2 linked regions of the Callithrix jacchus genome follow. The protein of the gene in region 1 purifies or fractionates together with the protein of each later gene. This does not show direct contact. Links are inferred from orthologs where the notes say so. Each region holds a gene or a part of one and is shown on either strand. Other genes may lie near its edges. The genes, in order: ESS2 and FRA10AC1.

Evidence for each region.
Region 2: the proteins of ESS2 (region 1) and FRA10AC1 purify together in Homo sapiens (co-immunoprecipitation; 3 studies listed by BioGRID and IntAct, counting the BioPlex papers as one, with this or other methods). This does not show direct contact. The link is inferred for Callithrix jacchus from reciprocal best matches to the Homo sapiens genes ESS2 and FRA10AC1.

What each region holds. Positions count from the first base shown.
Region 1 is NC_133502.1:210,762,683-210,766,503, reverse strand, and holds part of ESS2 (splicing factor ESS-2 homolog), read left to right. Parts: intron 1-134; coding exon 135-237; intron 238-1,018; coding exon 1,019-1,128; intron 1,129-3,821. UniProt on the Homo sapiens protein: May be involved in pre-mRNA splicing.
Region 2 is NC_133513.1:86,416,764-86,420,584, reverse strand, and holds part of FRA10AC1 (protein FRA10AC1), read left to right. Parts: intron 1-1,623; coding exon 1,624-1,742; intron 1,743-3,821. UniProt on the Homo sapiens protein: May be involved in pre-mRNA splicing.

The sequences.
Region 1 (3,821 bases):
AGGCTGCCAGCCCAGAGCCCCAGCCTTGCCCTGATGGGAGGAAGTATTTCCAGCATGTTCTTTCATGTTTGCCCACCAGCCAGCTGTCAAGTGGGCTGTGGTCCCCCTAATGCCAGCCTCTCTGCTTGTTCCAGCACAAACAGGGCAAGGTGGGCCCTGATGGCAAGGAGCTGATCCCCCAGGAGTCCCCCCGAGTGGGTGGATTTGGATTTGTTGCCACTCCTTCTCCTGCCCCTGGTGAGGAAAAGTACACACTGGCAAGTGGGCCTACTGCTGACTCCCTGGGGGAGGTGGGCTTCTCAGTCGGCCCTGGCTACTCCTGGCCTCAACCTGGCCTGCCCCACACCTGTGTAACTCAGGGACCTCGTCTCCTGTCTGTACAAGGCCCTAGAGGCCAGGTGTCCAGGCTACTCAGGGCCGTAGGCGGGCTATACCTGACCTGAGACATCCTGGGGTGATGTGTCCTGTCCTTGTCCTCACTGTGATGTCAACAGGCGGGGGTGTGTGCACAGTGCTTAGGAGTCTAAGTCTGCCTAGCACTGCAGGGAGGGAGGCTTGGCACCTCAGGGGGCAGGTGAGACTCAGGTGGTCCCGTGGCATGTGTGGGTACCCCTCCTGCAGTCTGGCCTCTGTGCTCTTGGGTACTGGTACTGTGTCACAGGTCAGGGCATGTGAAGGCACTGCCGGTTTGCACGGGGTTCTAGGAGGTTTGGGAGCCCTAGAAGGCCTGAGTGTCTCCTCCTGAGTGATTGGGGGAGACCTCCCAGAGGCTTATAGGCTAAGCATGTGGCTGTAGGGCCCTGAGCCCTCCTCGGGCCCACTGGGACCTTGGCATTTCCCTTTTGGAGGATGGAGGTGCCAGGGTTCCAGAGTCCAGGGGAAGGAGAGAGGGCTAGCTGCCTGCCTTCTTATTAGCTGGGATGCACATTTGGTGAACTGGATGTGACTGAAGGGGAGGGCGGTGGGGACCCTAGCTGAGTCCTCTGTCCTGAAGTGGTTTTGGGCTCTTTGTCTGCAGGTGTGAATGAGTCCCCGATGATGACCTGGGGGGAGGTTGAGAACACACCCTTGAGAGTTGAAGGTTCGGAAACCCCCTACGTGGATAGGACACCAGGCCCAGCTTTCAAGGTGGGTTGTGGCGATGGGGGAACAGTGTGTAACTCGGTGTGGATGCCTCTGGAGCCCTGAGTGCCTGTGGCCCAGGATTGAGCACTGGGATTGACCCCCAGCCGCTGACAGGCAGAGTGCTGACTTTTCTGAATGCCAGGGTGCTGAAGGCAGGTGTGGGTGGGTAGGTGGGCCTGTTACAGAGGGATTTCGGGGTATAGGGGCTGAGACACCAAGGTAGAGAGTGGCTTGGGTCTTCTGAATCCTAGAGGCCAGGTACTGTTCATGAATGAGGCAGGATGGTCACAGTCACGTCAGGAGCTCTGCAGGCCTGAGGGCCATGGGATGTGGCTGTGTGCTTGCACAGCAAGCCCCTGGTTACAGAACACGATTGGGGCACACTGGATTGCACAGCTCAAGCCTGGTGTTGTAGGAGTGGTCAGGGTGGAGTGTGTGAGGCTCGGCACAGACCAGGGGAGGCTCTTTGTGGGCTGGGTCAGATGCAACAGGCCTCCCTGTACCACTGCGGGGCTTTCCCCAGAGTACTCAGTGGAGGTAGCCCACGTGCAGACAAAACATGGGCAGAGGTTTGGGTTACCTTGGTTCTAAACTCTGTCTGGGATGCAAGCATAACCAAGGCAGACGTGCAGGAGGGATAACGAAGAGGATGCTGTGCTGTCAGATGTGGGCACAAGGCAAGGGCCATGGTGCTTTCGAGGTGCTACCTGCTGCTGCTTCTTGAGCCTCCAGGCTGACAGAAAAAAAGTTCTGAAACAAACCGTGATCCAGGTCAGAACTTAGGGGCTGAGAAAGATGGCGAGTCAAACTGCACTGAATAGCAGAGTATGTAGAAATGAAGGACTCTGAGTCAGGTCAGAACTTAGGGGCTGAGAAAGACGGCGAGTCAAATTGCACTGAATAGGAGAGTATGTAGAAATGAAGGACTCTGAGTCAGGTCAGAACTTAGGGGCTGAGAAAGACGGCGAGTCAAACTGCACTGAATAGGAGAGTATGTAGAAATGAAGGACGCTGAGTCAGGTCAGAACTTAGGGGCTGAGAAAGACGGCGAGTCAAACTGCACTGAATAGCAGAGTATGTAGAAATGAAGGACTCTGAGTCAGGTCAGAACTTAGGGGCTGAGAAAGACGGCGAGTCAAACTGCACTGAATAGGAGAGTATGTAGAAATGAAGGACTCTGAGTCAGGTCAGAACTTAGGGGCTGAGAAAGACGGCGAGTCAAACTGCACTGAATAGGAGAGTATGTAGAAATGAAGGACTCTGAGTCAGGTCAGAACTTAGGGGCTGAGAAAGACGGCGAGTCAAACTGCACTGAATAGGAGAGTATGTAGAAATGAAGGATGCTGAGTCAGGTCAGAACTTAGGGGCTGAGAAAGACGGCGAGTCAAACTGCACTGAATAGCAGAGTATGTAGAAATGAAGCACACTGAGTCCTTCGGATGCGTAGCAGCATGTATTCTGGAAAAGTGAAAAGGTTACCTGTAAAAACAATAACCATAAAATAACCACGAAATAATGGCAAATATTTAGTTTGATTTTTAAAATTTTATTTATTAAGTATTATTATTATTATTACTTTTTTGAGATGGAGTCTCACTCTGTCACCCAGGCTGGAGGGCAGTGGCACAATCTTGGCTCACTCCAACCTCCACCTCCTGGGTTCAAGTGATTCTCGTGCCTCAGTCTCCTGAGTAGCTGGGACAGCAGGCATGTGCCACTGCACCTGGCTAATTTTTGTATTTTTAGTAGAGGCAGGGTTTCACCATGTTGGTCAGGCTGGTCTCAAACTCCTGACCTCGTGATCCGCCTGCCTTGGCCTCCTAAAGTGCTGGGATTACAGGCATAAGCCACCGCACCTGGCTTCTTCTTCTTCCTTTTTTTTTTTTTTTTTTTTTTTTTTTTAACAGAGTTTCACTCTGTTGCCCAGGCTGGAGAGCTGTGGTGCAATTATAGCTCACTGGGCTCAAGTGACCCTCCAGCCTCAGCCTCTTGAGTAGCTGGGATTAACAGCACACACCAGCACACCCAGCTAATTTTTAAAAATTTTTGTATAGAAATGAGGTCTTGTTATGTTGCCCAGGCTGGTCTCCAACTCCTGAGTTCAAGTGATCCTCCCACCTTGACCTCCCAGAGTGTTGGGGTTACAGGTGTGAGCCACCACTCCCAGCCTGTAGTCTAATCTTAAGTTAGGGAGAACCTTCTAAACATAAAAGGAAAAGGAAGAAATCACAAAGATGACAAATACAGCAGAAAATATTATAAATGAAACTAACGCAAATAACTAAAAACACATGTGCACGGCGTAGCGCAGTTGACTTGACACAGGTGAGGGTCTTCTGAGTGACAGCAGCAGAAAGGGAAAATCAATCCCTTGAGAGCAAACTAGGCCACAGACACACAGGGAATCTGCACCCGAAATAGACAGGGCCAATAAAGACAGAGATGTTCATTCTTAGAATCAGGGAAACACTAAAACATACACTCTTTTTCCTGAGAGATTGTCAGAGGTCATGGCTTTGGGAGGAACATGAAGATAGGTGAGGAGTGCTGGCCCCTGGAGAGGGCAGGTGGGGTTGGGGGCTTTCCAGGGGCTTTTAGAGGGAAGTCATGGTGGGTTGTGGGGATTGTGTAGGCCACAGGGAGAGGTTGGCGCCCACAACAGTGGCTCTCTGTATGAGGGACTGCCATGTGGCAGG
Region 2 (3,821 bases), on another chromosome or scaffold:
GGCTTACTCGGCTTCTTCTTGGGCAAACAGCTTAACCGCTGTAAGACTTAATTTTATCACCTGTAAAAATGAGGCTACTAAGGCCTCATTTGGGGAATAAAAGAAAATGCATGTAAAGTTCTTGCCATAGTGCCTGGCATTGAAGATGTTCAGACTAAATGTTTGCGACTTGCCTTTGCGATGGTCAGGTTTTATGCCCTAAATAACAGTTAAAAGTTCAACTCTTGCAACTTTATAAAATATATACATAAGCATATTAGTTTTAAAATGGCTTTCTTTGTTTTCAATCACATGGATTTGTCAAAAAATAACAGCTTTGTTATAAATGTGTCTATACAGTATTTTAGCTGTTAAATGTTAAATAATATTTTTAATTCTTAAAATTGGCAGGATTATTTTTATTATTTTCATTATTCTTTATTTTTTTGAGACAGTGTCTCATTCTGTTGCCCAGGCTGGAGCACAGTGGTGTGATCATGGCTCATTGCAGCCTCAGCCTCCTGTGCTCAAGTGATCCTCCCACCTCAGCTTCCAGAGTAGATAAGACTACAGGCATATGTCACCACACCTGGCTAATTTTTTTAAAGTTTTTGTAGAGATGGTGTTTCCCTTTGTTGCTCAGGCTGATCTTGAACTGTGGACTCAAGCAGTCTTCCTGCCTCAGCCTCCCAAAGTGCTGGAATGATAGGCATAAGCCTCCACACCCAGCCAGGATTTTTTTTAGATTACTTGAATGGCCTAAACCTTTATTTTCCTTTCCCATCGATGATACTTAAAGAAACCAGAGATTTATTTTGACCTTGACTTTTGAGCTTCATTTCAAAATGGAAATGATTCTTACAAAAGAGGCAAGAGTGGTTACTGCATTAAATACTATTATAGCATTTGGTATATGCACTTTAACTTGGAAAATCTGTTAAGCAAGTATTTTGAAAGTAATCTTTCTCTTTGTCTCTATCCTCCTCGCCAGTCCCAATTTCAGCATTATCACCTTTTACTGTTTAGTACTTCTTTTCTTAACCTATTAAAATTAATTGCTTGCTAACCTTGTAAACGTGGCCTATAAGAGATAAAGCTGCAACAGTAAGAGTATAAATTATAAGTGGCCTGATGTTAATATATGCATTAACAATAAGCCTTTTCTATTTTCATTCCATATACTTTTACTATATTCCTTTATTCTTAAAGGAAGAAATTTCTATTTACTGGTAGTTTAGAGCTGTTATAGCAGTTTCATCTTGTTTGTGCTTTTTTAACATGTAGATAGATATGGATTATGTGAAGAGAAATGAGATTTGTTTTTATAATTTTGTTTTAAATGGCTCAGTGATAGAATATAGAAAGAAGGAAACAAATACAATTATAATTTATATTTACTATAGTTGATACAGGACTTAGAGAAAATAATTATTTGTCTCAGTGTTTAGACTTCATTATCTTACTGAATGGTTTTAATTAATATACTAGCCTAAAATATTCACAGATTCACTTAAGTTTCCTTATTATATGAATTACACTTAAAAAATAAATATTTTAACTGATGTTTGTTTTTGTTATTGGTTTTTATTTTTGAAAAGGTCAGTTGGAAAAGTTAACTTTAATTTTTTATTGTTTAACATGAAGGAGAAAAGAAATCAAGTCAAAGAAAAGAAAAGATAAAACCAAAAATGATAGTGAAGAGTCATCACATAAAAAATCCAGATTATCTTCTGCAGAAGAGGTTTCCAAGAAAAAAGATAAAGGTAAAAGGAAATTAAGATAAGGGATCTACTCGTATTCATGAGCATGAAATATAATCTGCCGTATTTCATTCATATAATTGGTGAATGCATTTAGAATTTCATTTTATGGGAGTTGAAAGGAAACTGGCTGAGAATTTAGATATGAATTTAAAGTGACTTACTTAATATTAGCTATTAAGTTTTAAGAACTCCTGTAAGTTAATTAAGGGTTAATTTTAGTTCATTTTTTGCAGATAGTATAATATTGCCAGTAGTTTTCTAATTCCTGCCTTTGTCACCTACAGACTTGTTACTTTGGATAAGTTATTGAACTGCTTTATTTTTCTTATGTATATAGGGGTGAGGCGAATACCTGGCCTTCATACTGGGCAAGTTTATTGGAGAGATTCAAATAAGAATGTGAAAGGCATTTTGAACAGTGCTTTTAAACAGTCTATCATCTATAAATCAATATAAAATTATAACACTGATTTTATTTATAATGGTCTACAGATTTTTTTTCACTAGTTTGTGAGTTTCTAGAAATGAGAAAGATTGACATATATCTGTGCTCTCAGAACCTAGCATGGTGCTGTACACATATACTTAGTAAATAATTATTAAATTCAAGTTTATTAATCAACTGCTTGCTTTTTCCTCAGCAGTCCATAAGCCCTCTAAGACTCAATTCCTTCATGTGTAAAATGGTCATGATTCCTTTTAGAATTGTTCAGAAGTTGAAATGAGATAATTCATTAAGCAGTTTGCATAATACTTGGCACATATTAGCTATTATGAAAGTACTTCTAGTTGCTTTTTTAGCCCTTAATAAAGTTGATAATCAAATTAGATTCAAGCCAATGTTAATATAATATTTGGACAGGAGAGGGCTCTCTTCCTCCAGCTATGAAGGTCATTAGATAGGTTGCATTCTTAGAAACATTTACTTGCACATCATCATTATGTAGACAAAGGTTAAATCTACAAGTCCTCGTAATCCCATCTACTCCGATAGCTTCAAGTATATGGTGTCACCAAGCTTTAGACTTCATAAAATTCATAGATGGCGAGAGGACGATACTGTTATTTTAATTGCTTAAGAGTAGCATTTGTTGCAGAATGCCTTTTTGTCTCTATCTTAATTATTTCCTACTGTAAGGTAAATTTTAACCAATAAAAATTAAAATATCTTTTGAGTTTTAAAAACTTATATGCTAGTAAAACATTAACATCACTTAAGAAATTTGTTGCCCTCATTGTATTATATGTTCATTCTTATCACAACTGTGATACCATGTTAATCACTGCATATTCCAAACGAAAGAATTCATCTCTGCTTTATAAAATGTTACTCAGTACAATCAGAATAGATTGGGTAGATGAATACTCAGGTTCAGGGCTGGGATTGGACCCTTCATATTAAGCATAAATATGCACGCGATCTTCCTTATAGATATTTTTCCTGTAGTGTTTCATCAGTAGATGACACTTATGTTGACCTAAAAACTAATATCAGAAATCTGGGGGTTATCCTTGATACTTACTTTTTCCTTATTACTTATGTTTAATTTGTCATCAAGGTCTGTGAATTTTCCCCACAGAGTACGTATTTCTCAGGTTCTGTCCACCTACAAAGCACTGTACTTTCTCTTATGGGCTACTGTTACATTCTCCTTAGGGGTTCCACCACTGTCTTGCCATCCCACCTTCCCTCCTCTTAATCCAGTCTCCATAAATCAATGGATTCCTGTTGTTTTTAGGCTGGTAACCAAAATCCTGGACAAAGCTAAGAGGTTCTGTGTGATCCAGAACTTGTGTACCATACAAGTCTTGTTTTTTTGCCAATCCGTACCTCACTTTCACACTCCCCCCATGTAGCCTTTCAGTTTCTGGAAATGCCAAGCTTCTTTCAATTTTAGGGGTTATATGGATGCTGTGTCTTCTCTTCCTAAAACTCCCAGTTCTATCCCAGCTCATCCTTCAGGTCTAAGCTCTTAAATGTCATTTCCAAGGATCCTTTCCGATTTCATCCCCCACCTTGAATCTAAATTAGGACTCTGATTTGTAATGCTGTCATGGCTCCTGACACTTTCCATTATT